Stegostoma tigrinum: one gene and its partners. The protein of the gene in region 3 interacts with the protein of the main gene of each other region in a pairwise test. Links are inferred from orthologs where the notes say so. Each region holds a gene or a part of one and is shown on either strand. Other genes may lie near its edges.

Region 1 (7,671 bases), on a different chromosome or scaffold from region 3:
ATCCCCAATGGTTTTATTAAGCTCTATAAGGTCAGCTCTCAACATACTTTGCTGCAGTGAATAAAGTCCAAGCCTCCCCTTATAACTTGAGCCCTCCATTCCCAGCAACATACTGGTAAATCTTTTCTGAACCCTCTCCAGCTTACTAATAACCTGCCTATAACAGAGGGACTAGAACTGGACACAGTGCTCCAGAAGAAGCCTCACCAACGACCTGTACAACCTCAACATGACGTCCCAACTCCTACACTCAAAAGGTCTGAGCAATGAAGGCTAAAAGCCTTCTTAACCATCCTGTCTACATGAGACGCAAACTTCAAAGAGTTAAGCATCTGAGCTCCTACCTCTCTCTGTTCTACAACACTGCCCAAGTCCTGCTCTTGTGTATTTTCCCCAGATGCAATACCTCATGTTTATCCAGATTAAACTCCATCTAGTTGGAAATAGTTGGCTAAAAATAATGTCCATTTGTAAGGGCTTTCTTATGGACTTTCAGAATGCATTTGACAAAGTTCTTCAAAGCAGATGTTTTCAGATGAAAGGCAAGGAGATAAGGGCAACTGGGCAGTAGAGACTCATGGCTCAGTGTCAGGAAGCAGTAGGTGGTTTAAGGCTATGGTTTTTCAGTATGCAGTGGTGGTTTGGATTTTGCTCTGTTGCTCCACACTTTACACACAGAAGGGGCGATCAGGTTTCCTAGTGATATCAGCGTTGTTAATGCAATAGGCGGTGATCAGGACAGGCCTCAGGCTCAGTGAGGCCACATCCGGGAAGAGAAAGGTTCCAATCCTCACAACCCTTCACCTCCCCCGCCACAACCCGCAAGTCCTTGAGGACTCGCCTCCGAGTGAACTTGCCAAAACTCCGCCGAGGGAATCTCACCTCTGTTTCCCCTCAGCCCTCCATCCCACCCTCCACCCTCCCCGCAATGTCGAACACAGGGTCCTGAGCCCCACTTCCTCTCTCTCAGCACTGTCTGGATGTCTCCACGTCACACAGCTCACCATCCCCCACCCCACCTTCTCAAGGCGGTTGCGGTGGGGAGCTCTTCGCATGCTGTCTGACCTGCTGTGCTTTTCAAGCTCCACACCCATTGACTTCGACACATCACCTTGTTCCCTGGCCAAAATCTGTGCCTCAGGCTTCCTGCAGTGCTCCAGAGAAGGTCAGCACAAGCTGGAAGAGCACACATCATTTTCCACTTGGGAACTCTAGCTTTCTGCACTCAATATCGAGTTCAACAATTTTTGGGCTTGAGGCCCCTTCTCCCGTGTCCTTACCCCAAACCCCACACACCAGGCCTTGTTATCACATGGTCTGCTCAATCAAACTACCAATCGTTAGCTTCTAACAGTCCCCATTAGTAACTATTCATTCTCCCAAGTTGACTTTTATCCACTCCTTTGCCTGCCCAACTGTTTTTCTATCTCGGGCTATCATTTCCTCGCCCACCTACGCACTTTTCTGGATTTAAAAAAAACATCCTTTTCCTAGTTCCCATGAGTTCTGAAGAAGAGTTAACTCTGATTTCTTTCCACCGGGGCTGCCAGACCTGCTAAGTTTTTGCAGCCAACTTCTGTTTTTGTTTCAGATTTCCAACGTCTGCAGTTCCTTTGGTCTGTTCGATTGATTTTTTTAGAATTGGTGGGCTGTGCGTAGCCAGAGTGCAAGAAGGAAAGCGGCTGCAACAGAACCATTTCTCTGGGATCTTGCTGCTCCCTTCCATTGCCCCAGAATTTGAGGGGGGGGGAAGCGGGGGTAGGGAGCATAGCAGCAGGAGTGGCAGTGCCCTTGCACAGTTGAGCCACCCATAAACACCGGAGCCCCCACCCACACCCCATCAATTCCCCTCACACCTGGACCCTCAACACCAGACCCCGTTGACCACACGGAAATCTATTGTCGACTTGTCGGAGCACACCCTTCAACCAGACGGAATCAAAGTTCTCAGCTGAGGGCTCAATTTCTGCCCCGCTACCAAAACGGACCCCCCTGGTCTTGTGGCAGACACGGAGGAATTCATCAGGGGGCTGAGGCTCTGGGAATTCTTCCTCAAACCCCGAGATGTCAGCAGTGAGCCCAAACAGACAACCAACAAACCGGAACACAACCTTCAACTGAACAGACTGATCAAGACCTTTGATCCAGATCGTCTGATTATCCTATGCACTATCATCCTGCGCATTTCTCATGTTGGAGAGTTCTGCTGCCTTCCAAAGATACAAAAGCCAATACACCTGGACGTCCCATCGTATCAGGCAATGGGACCCTGTATGAGAACCTCTCTGGCTATGTCGACGGCATCTTGAATCTCACTGTACAAGGAACCCCCAGCTTCCGCCACGACACGACAGATTTCTTACAGAAACTCAGCATCTACGCACCAGTCAAACCAGGAACATTCCTTGTCGCAATGGATGTTTTGGTGCTCTACAGCAGCATCCCCCACGACAAAGGCATCACTGCAACAGCCTCAGTACTCGATACCAACAGACACCATCCTACAACTCATCTGTTTCATCCCTGACCACAACGTCTTCACCTTCAACACCCTGTTCTTCATCCAGACACATGGAACATGGGGACTGTACGTGCCAACGTGTCAACATTTTCACGCACAAGTTTTGAGCAAGACTTCTTTGCCGCACAGGATCTCCGACCAACGTTACACACCAGATAATTGATTACTTCTTTTCTTGGTGAGGAATCATGAAACAACTACATTGTGATATCGACAAGTTTCATCCCACCATCACACTTACAATGGATTACTCTTCAGAATCAGTCTCATTCGTGGACACACACATCTCCATCAAGGACAGATACCTCTATCTTATTCAACTGCAAGCCCATGGATAACCTTGTGATTCTGCACTTCTCTAGGTTCCACCCTAAACATATTAAAGAAGCTATCCCCTACGGACATACCCCGTGCATACACAGGATCTGCTCAGATGAGGAGGAATGAATCAGACATCTAAAGGTTTTGAAAGGTGCCCTCATAAGAATGATACACGATGCTCAACTCATCGACCATCAGTTCCAACGTGCCACAGTGAAACACCACAATGACCTCCTCACAACACAAACACAGGATACGACTCAGAAAGCACCCTTCATTGTCCAGTACTTCCCTGGAGCGGAGAGACTCAGAAAGCACCCTTCATTGTCCAGTACTTCCCTGGAGCGGAGAGACTCAGAAAGCACCCTTCATTGTCCAGTACTTCCCTGGAGCGGAGAGACTCAGAAAGCACCCTTCATTGTCCAGTACTTCCCTGGAGCGGAGAGACTCAGAAAGCACCCTTCATTGTCCAGTACTTCCCTGGAGCGGAGAGACTCAGAAAGCACCCTTCATTGTCCAGTACTTCCCTGGAGCGGAGAGACTCAGAAAGCACCCTTCATTGTCCAGTACTTCCCTGGAGCGGAGAGACTCAGAAAGCACCCTTCATTGTCCAGTACTTCCCTGGAGCGGAGAGACTCAGAAAGCACCCTTCATTGTCCAGTACTTCCCTGGAGCGGAGAGACTCAGAAAGCACCCTTCATTGTCCAGTACTTCCCTGGAGCGGAGAGACTCAGAAAGCACCCTTCATTGTCCAGTACTTCCCTGGAGCGGAGAGACTCAGAAAGCACCCTTCATTGTCCAGTACTTCCCTGGAGCGGAGAGACTCAGAAAGCACCCTTCATTGTCCAGTACTTCCCTGGAGCGGAGAGACTCAGAAAGCACCCTTCATTGTCCAGTACTTCCCTGGAGCGGAGAGACTCAGAAAGCACCCTTCATTGTCCAGTACTTCCCTGGAGCGGAGAGACTCAGAAAGCACCCTTCATTGTCCAGTACTTCCCTGGAGCGGAGAGACTCAGAAAGCACCCTTCATTGTCCAGTACTTCCCTGGAGCGGAGAGACTCAGAAAGCACCCTTCATTGTCCAGTACTTCCCTGGAGCGGAGAGACTCAGAAAGCACCCTTCATTGTCCAGTACTTCCCTGGAGCGGAGAGACTCAGAAAGCACCCTTCATTGTCCAGTACTTCCCTGGAGCGGAGAGACTACGCCATGTACTTCACAGCCTTCAATATGTCATCAATGACAATGAGTATCTTGCCAAGATGCTCCCTATATCTCCACTTGTCACCCTCAAACAACCGCCAAACCTTAAACAAACCATCATTCACAGCAAACTATCCAGCCTTCAGGAGAACATCAATCACAACGCCACAATACCTTGCCAAGGCAACCTCTGCAAGGCACGTCAGATCATTGATATGGATACTACTATCACACATGGGAACACCACCCATCGTATACACAGCAGCTATTCATGTTACTCAGCCAGTGTTGTGTACGTCATATGCTCCAGGCAAGGATGCTCCGAGGCAAGACTATGCAGATGCTACAACAACGGATGAATGGACACTGCAAAACAATCGCCAGACAGGAATGCTCCCTCCCAGTCGGGAACACTTCAGTGATCAAGGAAATTCAGCTTCCAATCTTCAGGTGAGCGTTTCAGCCCCGCCCCTAGCCCCATCTCCGGGTAATGACGGGCAGCTACCCAGACCAATCAGGAAAGAGATGCCGCGTCGGGCAGGGGGCACGGACGCAGTGGCGTCATGCCGCAGCCCGGGTGAAGAGCAGTTTGCAAGGAGGAAGGAAGCAGGGCCGGGAGCGTGCGGTGTCGCCTTGGCGACGGGGCCTAGTCGGTCTGGTGGAGGCCCGGCGCTGGACGGAATGGTCAGTTGATGGGAGGAGAACGAGAACGGGATTGGGGCGGGGAGAGCGCGAAGCGCCGCGCGGTCGCCATGGACCGACAGTCGGGTCAGAGTGAAGAAGGGGGGGGGTGGAGGTGGATGCTGGCAGCCGGTGAGAGCTGGACCAGCAGGCCGCAGGAGGGGGATGTGGTGCTGGCCGTGTCATTGCACTCGCACACACATCACCATCAGAACAGCAGGAGGCCATTCAGCCCATCGAGTCCCGGACCTGATCAGCCTCAAATTCCAATTCGCTACCTTTTCCCTGGATTTCCTTCCTGATTTAAAGCACATCTCTCTCTGCGTCAGCCCTCTGCGGCAAACAACCTCCCTCTGAGAGAGGAAATTCCTCCTCACGGCCGTCTCGAATGTGTGACTACACCCCTCCCCCTATCACTCTGTGGTGGCGTCCCTTTGCTCCAAGTCTCTTCCAGAGGGCAGGCCTAGTCCCACCTCTACATACACCCAGAACCACAGCCATGTGGTTGACCCTGAACACATGGAGAATGGAAAGAGAAAGTGAGCCATTAGAGATGTACAGAACAGAAACAGACCCTTTGGTCCGCACCGACCAGACCCATCCCAGTCTGACCTCGTCCTGTTTGCCATTATTTGGTCCATATCCCTCTAGACCCTTCCTCGCCATATACCCATCCAGATGCTTTTAACATACTGTAATTGTACCAGCCTCCACTGCTTCCTCTGGCAGCTCATTCCATACACGCACCAACTTCTGTATGAAAAAGTTGCCCCTCAGGTCCCTTTTCAATCTTCTCCCCTCTCACCTTAAATCTTTGCCGTTTGGTTTCGGAATCCCCTGCCTTTGAAAAACGACGAGAATTGAATGCGGTATTCTAAAAGTGGCCTCATCAATGTCCTGTACGGCCACAACGTGACCTCCCAAATTTTGTACGTAATGCACTGACCAATAAAGTCAAGTGCCAAATGCTTTCTTCACCACCCTGTCTGCTTGCCAGTCTACTTTCAATGAACTCTGAACCTGCTCCTCTTTGTTCGACAACACTCCCCAAGCATTTCAGTCCTGCCCTGATTTGCCTTACCCAAAAGCAACACCTACATTTATCTCCATCAGCCACTTCTCGGCCCGAGGAAGGGTCTAGGCCCGAAACGTCAGCCTTCCTGCTCCTCTGATGCAGCTTGGCCTGCTGTGCTCATCTACCTCTACACCTTGTTATCTCAGCCCATTAGCCCATCCATCCCTCCAGTAGATGCCTATGTGTAACTCATTCTCATGAATTTGTTATTTCTTCTGCACTGTCGCACTTCTGTGATGTCTTGTTTATCTTGACGCAACAGGAACGGTTTCCTGGCCCTGCGTCAAAATCGATGTAAGACTCAGTCAGGGCTCCTCTGTATTAACATCTCTTAGGAGTGACAGTGTGTCCCTCAGTACTGAACTGGAGTCCATGTTGCATGGATTTTTGAGTTTAAGTCCTTATTGAGTGGGACTTGAATCTACAAGAATTCTGCTTCGGGCAAGAGGGTACATCCAGACAGCATCTTGTGGGAACAAATGGAAAATAAATTACAGTTAGTGTTGATTTGTTAAAAGGCAAAAGTATGTGATAAACTTGAGTGTTCTTTGGTCAACTGGTGGGGAGATTGAGGGTGCTGCAAGTATATATGGACTTTCTAAAGACACAGGGCAGAGGTGATTAAACATTCAGGATGAATATTTTCTTCATAACAGCTTTAACAACCCTGCAATTTATCAACAGAAGAAGTTCAAAAACAATGTTGCTATGTTTAGAGGCAGTGTGTACCCATGCGTTTGGAAAGATATGGAGGACTTGCACAGGCATCAGAAGAGACTGACAAGTATGGTATCTGGCTTCTGTGGACAAATCAGGCTGGCCAGTGTTTATCGCCCATCCCGAGTGGCCATTGAGAAGGTGGTGGTGAACTGCCTTCTTGAACTGCTGCAGTCCGTCTGCAGTGGGTTGACCCACGATGCCGTTTAGGGAGGAAATTCCAGGATTTTGACCCAGTGGAGGAACGGCGATATATTTCTAAGTTCAGGATGGTGAGTGGCTTGGAGGGGAAATTGAAGATGGTGGTGCTCCCATATATCTGCTGGTTGGGAGTTCAGTTATGTGGAGAGACTGTTGACTTCATTCGTGATGTTGATAATCATGAAGTATTATTTTGGATGAGAGATATATCTTCAGTGGCAGTAACTAAGCACAAGCAAAGGTACTGATGTGCAGCAGCTTGCGAGACCTTGAGGGGGGCCGTGTGGAAGCAGATTCAGTAGTAGCAATCAAAAGAGAATTGGAGGAGGACTTATACAATTAAAAGTAGGGCCTTAGGGGTAGTGCTATAGAACAGAGAGACGTAGGAGTTCAGGTGCATAATTATTTGAAGTTTGTATCACATTAGACAGGGTGGTTAAGAGGCGTTTATCACGCTTGCCTCCGTTGCTCAGACCTTTGAGTATTAGAGTTGGGACGTCATGTTGAGGTTGTACAGAACATTGGTGAGGCATCATCTGGAGTACTGTGTCCAGTTCTGGTATGTATTCTGTTATAGGAAGGATACTATTAAGCTGGAGAGGATTCAGAAAAGATTTACCAGGATGTTGCCAGGTATGGAGCGTTTCAGTTGTAAGGAGAGGCTGGATAGACTGGGACTTTTTTTCACTGGAGTAGAGGCGGTTGAGGGGTGACCTTTTTGAGGTTTATAAAATGACCAGCGATACAGATAAAGTGAATAGCAGGTATCTTTTCCCGAGAGTGGGGGATTTCAAAACTACAGGACATATTTTAAGGTGAGAGGAGAAATATTGAAAAGGGACACAAAGAGCAATTTTTTTAATAAAGGGAGTGGGAAAAGCTCCTTCCCCTTAGGTAGGGTGTGGTCTTTAGGACAAAGTGCAGCCACTCGTGTGTGGAATGAACTTTCTGAGGA
Region 2 (7,980 bases), on a different chromosome or scaffold from region 3:
TAAAACAAAAACCAAAATATTCAGACTAGTGACAATCATTTAATGATCTTGAAATCGCAGTGAACATTGTATTTAAAAGAGCATCATCTTCACAAAATTCAAGCTGTTTTCCTCAGTGTTATGACAACCAAAGTTTAACTGATTCAAGTTAGCATTTCATATTCCTGGATTACAAAACAGGAAGCACTCAGTCTGAAGTTAACTACAGCAGAACAAATGTCAGATAGACCAGTGTCTGCAATACTTAGAGTGTATAAAAACCACACCATTGTCTGAAAATACAACTGGAGCCATGATGTCGTACTAGTTGCAATCCAACTTGTTCCATCCCATCACTATTGTCCCAGCTCTCCAAAAGTAGTACTCAGAGCAGTCCTCATCATGGTTTAGTGGGCTGTTGGGTCAGAGCAGTTACTCAAACAAGTATTAACACCAACACCTCAATTTTAGTATCATCTCTCAGAACAGTAATCCTCAGTTGATAATTGTACTCATTAAAAGCAACACACCCAGAACTGTTCTGTAACTTAAAAGCCCAAATAAAATGAGATGCCTTTGTTATGAATCGCTTTAAAATGCAAAGCATTTCCTTTGATGCAAAACCCAAAATCAGAATGTAAATAAAAAAGCACTAGAGATTAAAAATCCCAGTCTAAAATTGCTGGCTTGGGTGGTAGTGAATCAGGCCTCTCCATTTGTGCAAAATTGCATTTTAAATACTGGCACTGCCAGTAAACAGCATGACAAAAATCATTTGATGATCTTTTATTACGCCTTCATTTCCCAAAACTATTCCTTACTGCTAACTTGGCCATTGTTTCTCCCCAAATTTGTCACTTGGTACAAAGTGGACACACCCAACCATTCCTTTTTTAGAACCACTAGCCCTTGAACAGATTCAGTTGAATTCATGACGCAACATGGCTTCAAGGAAATCCGAACAAAGTGATCGCAGGTGGTGCCAAGAAATAGATTGCATCATTTAGCCATTGGTGAATTTTTAATTCAATTTAAAATTTCAACCTCGTAGAACATTCCTCCCTAGAAAAAAGTCACAAGCACAAGATTTCATTATTACTTTGGAACTAGTACAGTTTGCAATAAATTTATCAGGAATAAAGGAAGAGGTGGTAAGAGCTCAACAAGTACTCTGTAGACAGTACTGGATCCCTTTATGCTGCATCTGTTAGACGAAATCAGAAAGCCCAAGATTACAATACTTAGACGTCCATATCCTCACACCTGCTTCATTTGTTTTTATAAGCTACTCCAAATGTTACTCTCCTATACAACATAGCTATTTAAGTCCTTCCTTTCTCCAGTCCATTGGAGACCAGAAACTTTTCTTCCAACTGGAAGTGCTAGTTTCCAATAATCTACATTCAATCCACATTAAAAACAAGTTGTCAGTTAGTAGTGGCATTGCAATCGTTGTCAATTTTTTCACAAAAAGGATTTGTAATTTAATTCTAGCAACTCCCTATTCTGGAATTTCTGTAATTGCCAAATTTGCAAACAGTAAAATTAATTACAACAACATGAAGAAGTGGAAAATTGTGGTTATTCATAGGAGACATTCTCAAAGACATCAATGCTACTTAGCTTTGGACCAGCTGATCAGTGGTACACCATTGACAGGTGCTAAGAAACAGAAAACCTCCACTTGTTTCTGGTGTCAGTTCAGAACTGAATAGTGGATCCGCGTAATACTGATATTGGCTGCAGGCCCCAATTTTACTCCTCAGTCAGAGATAAGTCACAAGTTAAATGCAGGAAGATTAGTGATGACACTATTGGTACTTCATTGCTTTGTTACAGTGCTAAAAACACAGCTGTCAATTAAAATCCCTCAAAATCTTAATAGCTGCCACATTGTAGGGGTGGATGTCAGTGATCGAAGGTTAGAAGAATCAAGTGCCACAGACTGAACTACAATGTAGTACCTTCAACTGTTACCTCTTAAACGGTGAGTTATCTGTCTAGTCAGAATAATATCATGTTTCAAAGAAAGTTCAAAAGAAACCACTAAATATTTGACCCACTTAGGTTAAGTCACATTCTGTACACACACATGCCATGTCATATACAAGTATCTCCCCAACTACTTGAACCAAAAGTTCAAACACCACACAAATTGCAGTAGTTTGTTTAAAACTGAATTAATTTTCAGGCTTTGGATTAAAAAGAACCCCCATTTCAGTTGGCAGTCAAAAATGCACTAAGTGAAGTGAGCTTTATAGTCAAGAAAGTAGTAGTAATTAGCTACATTAATCTGGCAGACAAGGGTACAAACATTTCAGGCCTACCATTAGTCTATACAAATAAAACACAGTATGACAAATGTTTTCGAAAGCTGAAGAATGCCCAACAGTTGCAAGACAATTTAACTCTTCACCAGATCCATTCTACCGGAGTTCTTGGAGCTCACACCAATCCCTAAATTCGGGCCATTTCTCCTATATTAAAAACTCAGTTGAAGTCAACTAAAACTAACTCAGAATTAAGACATCGACAGTAGGCACTAAGGATGTTTTCTTTATAAAGGTTAAACACAGCAATGTCCAGTTTTGGGAAAGTACCTGCTACGTGTGAAGTATAACGACGGCCTATTCCCAAGTGAAATGCTCCCTCCTATTAATATGCAGCTCTCAGCAAAGTCTAATCATTAACAACCTTTTGGTTCAACAGCAACACCAACAAAGGCCGACGGGGCGAGAGGAGCGAGCCCCCAGGGAATGGGGAGATGGGCCGATGGGGCCTGGGTAAGGGGAGGGGGATTGATCGGGGGGAAAGAGGGCACTGATGCCCCATCAAGGGGCATGGCCCCGGGGCCCAGTCGCCCGACAGGGGGAAGCGGGCACCTCGCTGGCCGGGGCCGGGGACTCACCCTTGAACAGATAATCATACTCGTCGTCCCGGGCGCCCATCGCTCTCGGCTGAAAGTTCCACAGACTCCCGGAGCCGCTTGTTTCCGCTTCCGGTGCGAAGATCACAATCCGTCAGGAATTCTCCCAGATTGTATTTCCGCCCGACCGTGCCGGAAATTGTCAACAAAAAGGGAGCGAACCAATAGATTAATATACAAATAACACTGAGTCAATAAATAAACAATAACCAGGGTTAATCAATACATAAATAACACTGGGTTAATAAATAATAATCAGGGTTAATTAATACATAAGTAACACTGGGTTAATAAATAATAATCAGGGTTAATCAATACATAAATAACACTGGGTTACTAAATAATAATCAGGGTTAATTAATACATAAGTAACACTGGGTTAAATGTGTTAAGAAAGTCGATAATAAGTTAATTACTACGTTAACTAATAAATGATACTCAGTAGTTCAGTTCAATGATAACAGTCAACTTAATGAATCGTTTACAGTCTGATAATGTAAACTAAATAAATTAGTTAATAATAATAGTGGATTAATAAATTACTTAATACATGCCCCTGTAAGTCTGTTAATAAATGTATTAATTAGTCTTAATTAAATAATTAATAAGTGTATTAATATATTAATTTATAAACAAGCCTGTTAATAAATAACTGTATATAAATTAATAAAAGCTTTTGAAAAATTAGTTAATAACAGAGGCTTAATAAATTAAGTAATGGATTTGTTGATAAATTAATGAACACGAGATAAATAAATTAGTTAATAGTAACGGTAGATTTGTCAATAAATCACTAAGTTTGTCAATATCGTCTGAACCTCAAATCTTTTGGTTTTCGTTTGGGGCGGGGTCTGATACGTCATAGGGCGAGGCCATTAGATACCTTCTTTCTGATTGGACGCGGTCTGGGACCGTGACCGTGATGTCACTGCGGCGAGAAACATGTAGTTGGAGCGCCACCCAGAGGATGGCTGGGGTAACGATGTTCGCTCTGTTTCCCACTCAGACACCTCCCTGCACTTCCCATGGCGAACCCACACGTCTCCAAACACTGCAGGGTCCTCTCCTCATGAAGGGTGAATCTTGAGTCTTTCTGCCATATTGTGAGCTGTTTTCTTTCTGGAATGAGAGGGAGGCAGATATTACAGCAGGTGGAAAGGGATGGCACAGCTAATTCAGTTGGTACTAATGGAATGGTGTCACAAGTAAGTGAATAGACATCAGACATGTAAGATTAGGGGTGTTGGGGGGTTGTGGTGCGTGAGGGTGACTGAGGGAGAATGTCGCAGTCAGTTGTGAGAGTGGGAGAGTATGGTGGGAGGTGATTTATGATTTTATCATCACATGGATGTGGAAGCTTTGGAAAGGTTGCAGAGGAGATTTACTAGAATGTTGCCTGGTATGGAGGGAAGGTCTTACGAGGAAAGGCTGAGGGACTTGAGGCTGTTTTCATTTGAGAAAAGAAGGTTGAGAGGTGACTTAATTGAAACATATAAAATAATCAGAGGGTTAGATAGGGTGGATAGGGAGAGCCTTTTTCCTAGGATGGTGACGGCAAGCACGAGGGGGCATAGCTTTAAATTGAGAGGTGAAAGATATAGGACAGATGTCAGAGGTAGTTTCTTTACTCAGAAAGTAGTAAGGGAATGGAACGCTTTGTCTGCAGTAGATTCGCCAACTTTAGGTACATTTAAGTCGTCATTGGATAAGCATATGGACGTACATGGAATAGTGTAGGTTAGATGGGCTTCAGATCGGTATGACAGGTCGGCACAGCATCAAGGGCTGAAGGGCCTGTACTGTGCTGTTATGTTCTATGTATATTACAGTCAGAAACACAGTAAAATACAGTGAAAAGCTTTTCCACTGTTGCCATGATTTTGAATATTTTTAAGAATTAAAAAAGAGAGTCTGTCAGTTGTGAGCCAGCTCACCCTAAAGGACACCTGTAACGCCATCTCCCCTCCACTGCCTTGCCACCATCTACACTGGACCCAACCAACATTGAAATTGCCACTGTTCAGGTGACATGTTTTGCTGCTGTGCGGATTCTCCAATGTCACCACATGCACCAGGCCCAGGTGGGTGCAGTGTGAGAGAGTGAGGATGAGGTATCAGAGAGAAGATGGTGACAGTTATCCTGGTGGAGTGGAGAAGGACATTGACCTTCTTCCTACAGCATTGGGCATTCCTCGAAACACTGAGACTGCATTGACCCAAGAGTGGGGCTAAACTCAGTCCAGACTTTGCACGGCCCAGTGTCAGGGCCTCCTCTGCTGGTCCGTGGGGGAAGAGAACATCCCACATCAGCACCAACCCATCCTAGCAGGATCTCCAGCTTCCCAATCACACAGAGGGGCAGCGATTACCCCCTGTCATGTCCAGGGCAAATATCGAGAACCGTGCAGGTCAGCTCTGGATTGACAGTGCTTGCCCGGATGCAGAACAGGCTTTTATAGATGTTTTGCACATTTGGAGTTTGTGATTGTCCTCCCATTGAATTCAGAAGATGTGGTGGAGGCTGTGTGGTTGGAATTTCTTGAATATTCAGATTCCAGGTCTCACTGCTGTCCTGGATTATGATGATGACAGCTTTTTGTAAACTAGGAGCTTTGGTCTGCTGCAGAACTCTGTTATCTCAGCCTAGTCTGTACAAGGTGGATCTGGCACAGCTGAGCTAGTGATGGATCTACTTGTCAATAGTGGCTTTTTAAGATAGGTGCTGAGATTTTGCAAGTATTCTATATATTCCTGGACTCACATTCAGCATAAATGGACATTGAAATGTTTGGGTGGCCAGCTATAAATCCTCATAGCTACTAACATCAGAAGAAGAAACAGATTATCTGGCTGTTATTACATGCCTGTTTATGAATGTTTGCCGAGTGGATATTAGCTGCTGTGTTCCGTACATTACAACAGAGACTACACTTCAAAAAATGATCCATTTTCTGTAAAACTTTGAAACTGGCAGTGTCATGACAAGCACTGTATAAATGCAAGTCCTTCTTTTCAGGATCACCTGACTCCAAAAAAGCATTATTTTAGTAGTGTAATAAGCTTTAATTACTGGCAAGTAACTTGTGCCTCTGAAAATTATTTTTTCCCTGATATGAAGTTTGATTCTTTCAGATGTCGATTTTTTTGAAACATTTTTAAAGAAATTGTTGTGATTGAAAATCAGTTTAAAGCATAAGTAGAAATAGTTCAGGGATAATGGGAACTGCAGATGCTGGACAATCCGAAATAAGTGTGGAGTTGGATGAACACAGCAGGCCAGGCAACATCTTAGGAGCACAAAAGCTAACATTTCGGGCGTAGACCTTAGGCCTGAAACGTCAGCTTTTGTGCTCCTAAGATGTCGCTTGGCCTGCTGTGTTCATCCAGCTCCACACTTTGTTATCTCTATAATAGAAATAGTTGTTTCTTTTGTTTTCCATTTTAATCTAAAATTTCTTTCTCTCTCTTTATGAACCAGATTTGATAGTGAATCAAGTATTCCAGCAGAGACTTCACATTTAGATTCTTCAATTTGATTGGCTCCATAGTGACTTTCCTTCTTCACAGAAGTCAAAGGTGGTTTGCTTTTTTTTAGGAATTGGCTAACAGCAACTTTTCAATGCAAAATGTAGAAAAGGTTTGGTTGACAAGCTTAATATTTGCCCAACTCCAAAATCTGACCAATATTTCAAACTTTTTCTTTTAACAAGCATTTTTATCTGGATATGAGAAACTAATTTCAATGTTGTTTTTTATGTCAGATGCAGGATTTGAGCATTTTGTTTTTGGTAATCAATGTGACAAGCATCTTTCTGAAGGTGTAAAAGCCACTTCATCAGCTGTTAATGTACAGCCTTTGTGCTGCTTTTAACTTCCCATGTTTTAAACATGCATAAATCCAAATGGCCCCAACGTCCTAAACATGAATTTCACCAGTTTAAAAATCTCCTCATCCAGGCCTCATCATATGTCCAACCCCCCCCCATCCCTGCCTCCTTGACCTGACACAACCTGTCCATCTTCTCACCCACCTATCCACCCCTCCTACCTCACTGACCCATCCCTAACCTGCCTACCTGCACTCACCTATCACCATCCCACCTACCATCCCCAGTCCCACCCCATCCTCTCTATTTATTTTAGAGCTCCCTTCCTCCTCCCCATTTCTGAAGAAGGGTCCTGACCCAAAACTTCAATTTTCCTGCTCCTCTGATGCTGCTTGGCCTGCTGTGTTCTTCCAGCTCCACCTTGATCTGTCATTGATTGAAATTTTAAAGTTAAAATTTGATTTGATTTACTATTGTCACATGTATCGGGATACAGTGAAATGTATTGTATTGTGTGCTAACTGGGCAACTCATACCTTACATAAGTACATCAGGGCAAAAGAACTGAATGCAGCTTATGGTGTTACAGCTTCAGAGAAGGTGCAGAGAGAGATCAACTCTGATCTATAAGACATCTGTTCATAAGTCTGATAACAGCAGGGAGAAGCTGTTCTTGAATCTGTAGGTAAGTGTTTTCAAGGTTTTGTCTCTTCTGCCTGATGGAAGAGGTGGAAGAGTGTAACCAGAGTGATTAGATTTAGATTCCCTGCAGTGTGGAAACAGGCCCTTCGGCCCAACAAGTCCACACCGCCCCTTGATACATCCCACCCAGACCCAGACCCATCCCCCACACCCCTGAACACTACGGACAATTTAGCATGGCCAATCCACCTAGCCTGCACATCTTTGGACTGTGGGAGGAAACCGGAGCACCGGAGGAAACCCACACAGACACGGGGAGAACGTGCAAACTCCGCACAGACAGTTGCCCGAGGCTGGAATTGAACCCGGGTCCCTGGTGCTGTGAGGCTGCATTGCTAACCACTGAGCCACCGTGTCGCCCCTTGGACGGGTCTTTGATTATGTTGGATTTTTTCCCAAGGCAGCGGGAAGTGTAGATGGAGTCAATGGAAGAAAGGCCTTTTTTTTAATGTTGGACTGGGCTACGTTCAAAAGTCTCTGTAATTCCCTGTGGTCTCGGCAGAGCAGTTGCCATGTCAAGTTGTGATGCATCCAGATAGGATGCTT
Region 3 (7,397 bases):
AGCATCAATTCTTTTTAAACAGGTCTGAAGGTCATTTGGGCAGTGACCTCAATTGTTTACAAGAAAGAATGTAATTTTAGTCAAATGACTGGGAGAACCATTGTAGTACTGTTGGGTAAAATATTTATACTGTTGGTTTTATGAAAGGCGGAGGAAACACATTCAGAAAATTAGTTTTGTTTTGACTTAAGAGCAGATAGTTCAGAGTTTTAGTTCAGAAGAACCCGGAGTTCACTTTCGAAGGTAGAACAGGAGAATTGAGATAATGGCTTGGCGGTATTATCATATGACTGCTAATCCAGAGACCCAATTAAATGTTCTGGGGACCCTTGAATCCCACCATGGCAGATGGTGGATTGTGAATTCAATAAAAATTTGGAATTAGGAGTCTGCAGATGACCATGAATCCACAGTTGATTGTTGGGAAAACCCATCTGGTTCCCTTTAATGTCCTTTAGGGAAGGCAACTATCATTCTGACCTGGCCTGGGCCACATGTGACTCCCCAGACACACAGCAATGTGGGTTGACGTTTCATTGCCCTCTGGGCAGACAGGGATGGGCAGTAAGCGCTGGCCTCATACCATGACGTATAAAACAAATCAAGTCAGTGCAGGGGAACTATCATCAGCAGAGGCAGTCTCGAGTTTGTGGGGCTTCCAAGCAAGGAGAGTTTGGATAGAAATCTTCAAATTGTTAGAACTGAGAAAATTTAAGGCCATAAGAATTGTGAAATGTACAGATTGGCAAAAAGATTGTAAGATTGCCACTATAGATTAAGCAAAAGACATGGGGGAAAGCCAGCTAAGTAAAGATTTCAGAAAGCTGGATTCCAAAGAAGAGTCAGATTGCACTCAAAATGTTAACTTTATTTCTCTTTCCATGGATGCTGCCAAACCTGCTGAGTTTATCCAGTACTTTCTGTTTTTATATTTAAAATAGCTGAAATTGAAGTGATGTTTCTCTGGGATTGAGTCTCTGAAGTAGATAATGATGGCAAATAGGTTGAAAATTTGTTTTATTAAGATTTTTCTAACTTTGTACATACACATTGTTATTTTGTGTGATAAACTTTTATTTTCTTATCAGAGAAAATCTACAGCCTCTTGTGAATATGTTTCAGCAACTAACCACAATAACCAACTTCAAAATTAACCACATGATCCCTCCACCTCCTCCAGAACTTTCGATTCTCTGGTCCCCAACACCTCATCATTACATGGACGTCCAGTCCCTAAACACCTGCATTCCCCATACAGATGGTCTAACGGCTGTCCACTTCTTCCTGTCCTGCAGGCCGACCAGTCCCCGCCCACTGACACCCTCATCCACTTGGCCGAGCTCATCCTCACCCTCAACAACTTCTCTTTTAATTCCTCCCATTTCCTATAGACAAAGGGGGTGGCCATGGTTACCCGCATGGGCCCAAACTATGCCTGCCTCTTTGTAGGTTACATGAAACAATCCCTCTTTCGCACCTATACTGGCCCTAAAGTCCACCTCTTCCTCTGTGGCATCGATGACTGTATCGGCGCTGCCTTGTGCTCCCACGAGGAGCTCGAACAGTTCATCCACTTCACCAACACCTTCCACCTCAACCTTAAGTTCACGTGGACCATCTCTGGTACCTCTCTCTCCTTCCTGGACCTCTTTGTCTCCATCTCTGGTAACCACCTGGAAACTGATAACCATTTCAAGCCCACCGACTCCCACAGCACCTAGAATACATCTCCTCCCACTCACCTTCCTGCAAAAATGCTATCCCCTATTCCCAATTCCTTCAGCTCCGCTGCCTCTGCTCCCAGGATGAGGCATTCCACTCCCATACATCTCAGATGTCCTCATTTTTCAAGGACCACAACTTCCCCTCCACGGTGGTCCAGAACGCCCTCAACCTTGTCTCCGGCATTTTCCGCAACTCATCCTTCACACCTCCTCCCCTCAATAACAACCAAAACAGAAACCCCCTCATCCTCATTTACCACCCCACTAACCTCCAGATCCAAAGCATCATCCTCCGACACTTTCGCCATCTGCAATCCGACCCCACCACTAAAGACATTTGTCCCTCCCCACCCTTATGTGCTTTCCGGAGGGACCACTCTCTCCTGGACTCCCTTGTCCGCTCCACACTCCCCTCCAGCCCTACCACACTCGGCACATTTCCCCGCAACCACAGGAAGTGCTACACCTGCCCCCCACACCTCCCCCCTCACCCCCATCCCAGGCCCCATGAAGACTTTCCACATCCACCAGATGTTCACCTGCACATCTGCTAACGTGGTATACTGCATCCGCTGTTCCCGTTGTGGCCTTCTCTACACCGGGGAAACCAAGCTGAGGCTTTGGGACTGCTTTGCAGAACACCTACGTTCATTTCGCACGAAGCAACTGCACCTCCCAGTCGTGAACCATTTCAACTTGCCCTCCGATTCCTTAGACGACATGTCCATCCTGGGCCTCCTGCACTGCCACAACGATGCTACCTGAAGGGTGCAGGAACAGCAACTCAAATTCTGCTTGGGAGCCCTGCAGCCCAATGGTATCAATGTGGACTTCACAAGCTTCAAAATCTCCTCTCCCCCTACCACATCCCAAAACCAGCCCAGCCCGTCCCTACCTCCTTAACCTGTCCTTCCTCCCACCTATCCCGTCCTCCCACCCCAAGCCCCAACCCCATCTCTACCAACTAACCTCATTCTGCCCCCTTGACTTGTCCACCCTCCCTGGGCTGACCTATCTCCTCTTTACATCCCCATCTACACTCACCTCTACTGGCTCCATCCCCGCCTCTTTGACCTGTCTGTCTCCTCTCCACCTGTCTTCTCCTCTATCCATCTTCTATCCGCCTCCTCCTGTCTCCCCATTTATTTCAGAACTCTCTCCCCCTCCCACATTTCTGAAGGGTCTAGGCCCGAAAAATCAGCCTTCTTGCTCCTCTGATGCTGCTTGGCCCGCTGTATTCAACCAGGTCTGCACCTTGTGATCTCATATATGATCCATCAAACCAGGCTTCATTTCAGGATCTGACTTGTCCAGTATTTTTATCAGTTGGAATTATAATACATTTAAAAATCTCCTTGAAAATGACATACTTTTGTGATCATACCAATATCTCCTTGTGTAGCTTGATATCATATTTGTTTAATTATGTTCTGATAAGCATCCTAGGATGGTTGATAGTGTTAAAGGTACTCTACGAATATGTGTTTTTTGTTGCTAGTCTCATCAAACCAACTAAATCATCCTAGCAAACAAAACCAGATATGCTGTTTTACTCTGCTTTTTTTCCAAAGCTGCTCAGTTTAGCCCTTAGTTATGGTGTGATGAACCATGAACATCATCATTGTCAAACGATGTTTTGATATTTGAGACAGAGATTCAGTGAGGTGGCAATGTTCTTGCAATCCTGTTCTGTGAGTTTAGCAGTTCGAACAAAGATCAATTAACTCATCATAAACTTTGTCTGGCCCGGCGAAAATTTTAACTCATTGAGGAATGGATCAACTTCTGGGGGAGAAGTTTAAATTATGGTCTTATGCACTGAAATCCCTCAGCATTTTCACTCCTCGGCTTTTGAGAGCATTGAGATCATCTTCTTAAGGTAGCTAGGGATCTTAATTATCAAAAGTTTAAATTCCAGTGATGTAATTCAGTCTCTGATACTGCATTAACAGTGACTTGCATGAACCTGCAGACCACCAGGGGCTTACAATTCTGGGAGCTGGGACCAGGAGTGGAAACACTTTCTGCTTTTCTGTCTTCATCTCTCCCTCCTCAACTATAACTGACTTACTTATTCAGCTTGCTAGAACTAGTCTCTCAAACTTTGTGATTGCCGATATTTTGCTGGGGTAAAAGGGCAACATTGCCCATCCCTAAATGCCCACAAGGCAGTTGAGAGTTAACCGCTTTGTTATGGATCTGGAGTTACATGTAGGCCTGGCTGGGTGAGGATGGCGGTTTCCTTCCCTGAAGGACTTTGTGAGCCAGATGGATTTTCCCACCAATCAACAATCATCTAATGGCCATCTGTAGATTCTTAATTTCTGATATTTTTATTGAATTTAAACTCCACCATCTGCCATGACGGGATTCAAATATTAGCTGAGTTTTTGGATTAATAGTCTAATGGTAATACTACTAGGCCATGGCATCCCTGCATTAATAAATCTCTGGATTTAAGATTGGCTGTAGACTTGAAGCTTATTTATCTCTTTTCTTTCAGTCTTTCCTGAGAGTATTTCATTGCTTAGCTTTTGTCGCCTGGAGTTAATTATTACGGGGCAATAACAAATGAAGCTGGTTCTTATTACAGCCTGTGTCTGACTGGCCAAGGGTCAAAGCGTCTCTCGGTGTGTCCTTACGTCAGTAAAAAGCTGCAGCTGAGGACTGAGAGTATGAGGTGCTTGTGTCTGTTATTAGTTACGACCAACCAACTCACTTCCAAAAACGTTTCCAAGTTTGTTTTTGCTGTGCAAATTTTCCATTGCCTTATTATGCGGGAAGCCAAAACAAGGAAACAGAGTTAGGGACTGCAAGATGGAGCCGGGATCAAGAGGAGTTCACACTCTGGGAGGTCTCATAAACAGGGTTATGAGGTAAATGCAGCTGATTTCAATTTCCAGAGAATGAATCTGGACTTGGCGATGACAGGAGAAACAGTTCAAGGGGATTGCACCACCTCTGCCCCTCACATTCCTGCAGGACCTCTCAGCAGGTGTACACAGCCCTGTCCGGATGGTACAAAGTTTCTGGAATCTTGCACAATGCTAAACAGTGAAGAGCAGTCAACCATTGACAGGTAGGAAATATTGTGAAATAAACACAGAGCGGGGAGATTTGGGGAGGGGGTATAAAGTATAATTGCTTCTTATGCACTGTCGTGTTTTCAGACCAGAGTCTGATCAATACTGTCAGTCAAAGTAATGCGGGGACATTCCACAGTCCTAAGTCACCAAACTGTGTGGCAACAAAATTACACAGAGTGGCTTCTGAAATACAAATGGAACAATAATCAGTTCAAAGCCCACTTTTAATCTGGCCACGACGTCTCTGTTGAGAAGATTGAGATAATGTTGAAGGAAGCCTGAGCACTGCAGGAAGATTTTTTAATCAATTAGAGATGTGGAGAAGTTTGTTTTTCAAATGCTTGAGGAAGAGGAATACATAAATAAATAAAACACCTGAGCCACACAGGAATTTGTAGTTTCACTGTGGGAAATAATGCAGGACAAGTCATTGAAACAGAAGGCAGTGTTGAAGGAAAGACTAAATAAATTATATTATCATTTTACATGTGAAGATTCGACAACTGCTTTTGATCTGCAGTGTGGAAAATTGCATATGCCACTGATCCTATACAAACTCTAGGATATTCACTGCGACTAGAAATGACAGAGTCAGCAGGTGACAGATAATGCTGTAAGTGAGCAACTTATTTACACTAATGTGTAGCATAGCACCACAGAATGCCTCAACACAGACAAGCAAAGACATTCTATATCATATATATTGTCAACTAAATGGGAGGTATTCCATATGCATCAAGAAAAGGAGGCAATGGGATTTCTGCAGAAAATCAGTGTTCAGTTTCACACCAGGATAGTCTAGAACATTTACAAGAGGAACCTGGCTCCACAGAAGATGGCAGCCACACAGCACAGTCAAGCAACAGCAAGGTGTTCCCACATTAGAAATAGTGAGACAGAAGAAAATAACATTTAACAGTACCAGAGTACTCTATCTAAAGATTATCAGTGCTATATGTTGGCAACAGAGTATGTAACTAGAGAATTATTAAGGCTAGATATCCTTCCTAATGCAGATAAAGCAGTTATGGAGGAAATGTCTGATTCTAATGCTTCTTACTGTAAACTTTAACCAAGTCTGGGACTCAGAATACTACCTGGGACTTCCTTCTTGATGCCCCAACTGTGACATAGGTGGAGTCCTCACAATATCATTGTCTGTACGAGAAAACCCTCATGTGGAAGTAATGCCACTACCTATAGAGAGAATCACTTTTTACCCAAGGACAATCTTAATTGCTTCATCTTTGGAATAATCTTTAAAATAAATGCTCATTCTTCTTGTGGTCTACCTGACTCGACGGGGTGGGGGAGTGTGTGTGTGGTGAAGGTGTGGAGTGATGTTGTCGCACTGGATGATACAGCTATAAACCCTTTACATCAGGGATGACACTCATTCTATTATGAGCCTTGATGAGTAAAATTGGTAATTTTGTACACAGCATATTTAAGTAGATCATATTCCCTCTTAGCGCTGAACTGAGAATGTCCTTGCTTATTTATTATATAAATCTTGGAGACAACAATTGTTGGGGGCCTGACTCCAACTCACAGAGATACAATGCCATTTTCCAACTCACTGCACCACTAAGAAATTTAACATGGTTTGGCGAGTTTTGAGAAGATTAACATGGTTTGGTATATTTCAATAGAAATAGGTACAAACTTGCACAGCTAGAGAAGAAATAGATTCGTTGAGCAAAGACTCATTAAGTGTTATTTCCTGTGAGGTAAAGTAAGATATACTAGATATTTTATATCTAGAACTATGTAAAATCTTTCAATTCAGCAACTGGCCATTCAGCGGCACAAATCTTTTGCCAGTGTTTATGTTCTACACAAGCCTCTTTCCCAACCCAATTCAGCTGTCCTATACCCTTTTTATTTCTCTCTACTCTTATACTTATCTAGCTTTCCTTTAAATGTATCTACACTAATTGCCTCACCGTTTCATGTGGTAGCATACTTCGTACTGTAAAAGAATATCTAAAGCAACCTAAAGCTTAAAACACTTGCAATAAACTGTAGTTTGAGGAGGTTTCTGGCTGAATTATACATTAGACAAAATGTGCCATGTGCTCTGAGTGGCTGGAGCAGTGGAATGTAATGTACAATGTTCACTCAGTTGATTATTTAGGGAAATGCGCCCTCAGTGTTGCATGTGGTGGTAATCTGAACTGTAGGCAATATAGTTTTGTGGCTTTCCAAAGGATGAAAGGAGGGTTGAAACCTGTTGCCTGGATTCTGAACTTTATTGCTGGATGAGGAGAAAAGATTCAAAAAGTATATCTATATAAATTGAGGTTTAATAGTTGCTCTTCACAATAGGCAAATAGCCCCAAGTTCACCTTGGCCAATGCTGTGTTGTCCTTATTCAAACAAATGGGTTAACTCTCTGTCATTCACTGAGCTTTGGCCTGCAACCAATATAAACATATACAATGGACTGCAAGTTCTTTTCAGATATCCTAATCTGTTCCCTTGCAAATAGAAACCTTATTCAGAGTCATTTGTGCTCTAAGTATTACTATGAAGTGTAAAGTCTAAGCAAACATAAGATCATCAAAGATTAACTTTGAGGAGAAAA

Evidence for each region.
Region 1: the proteins of guanine nucleotide exchange factor for Rab-3A-like (region 3) and nudt18 interact in binary tests that used the Homo sapiens proteins (3 or more experiments, as listed by UniProt). The two-hybrid records come from large-scale screens. The link is inferred for Stegostoma tigrinum from reciprocal best matches to the Homo sapiens genes RAB3IL1 and NUDT18.
Region 2: the proteins of guanine nucleotide exchange factor for Rab-3A-like (region 3) and rab11a interact in a two-hybrid assay, tested with the Homo sapiens proteins (2 studies listed by BioGRID and IntAct). The two-hybrid records come from large-scale screens. The link is inferred for Stegostoma tigrinum from reciprocal best matches to the Homo sapiens genes RAB3IL1 and RAB11A.

What each region holds. Positions count from the first base shown.
Region 1 is NC_081393.1:15,506,065-15,513,735, forward strand, and holds the start of nudt18 (8-oxo-dGDP phosphatase NUDT18), read left to right. Parts: upstream 1-4,607; 5' UTR 4,608-4,726; intron 4,727-7,671. UniProt on the Homo sapiens protein: Mediates the hydrolysis of oxidized nucleoside diphosphate derivatives. Hydrolyzes 8-oxo-7,8-dihydroguanine (8-oxo-Gua)-containing deoxyribo- and ribonucleoside diphosphates to the monophosphates. Hydrolyzes 8-oxo-dGDP and 8-oxo-GDP with the same efficiencies.
Region 2 is NC_081386.1:35,467,121-35,475,100, forward strand, and holds the start of rab11a (ras-related protein Rab-11A), read right to left. Parts: upstream 3,077-7,980; 5' UTR 2,928-3,076; coding exon 2,888-2,927; intron 1-2,887. UniProt on the Homo sapiens protein: The small GTPases Rab are key regulators of intracellular membrane trafficking, from the formation of transport vesicles to their fusion with membranes.
Region 3 is NC_081370.1:18,131,986-18,139,382, forward strand, and holds the start of guanine nucleotide exchange factor for Rab-3A-like, read left to right. Parts: upstream 1-4,356; 5' UTR 4,357-4,630; coding exon 4,631-4,803; intron 4,804-7,397. UniProt on the Homo sapiens protein: Guanine nucleotide exchange factor (GEF) which may activate RAB3A, a GTPase that regulates synaptic vesicle exocytosis. Promotes the exchange of GDP to GTP, converting inactive GDP-bound Rab proteins into their active GTP-bound form.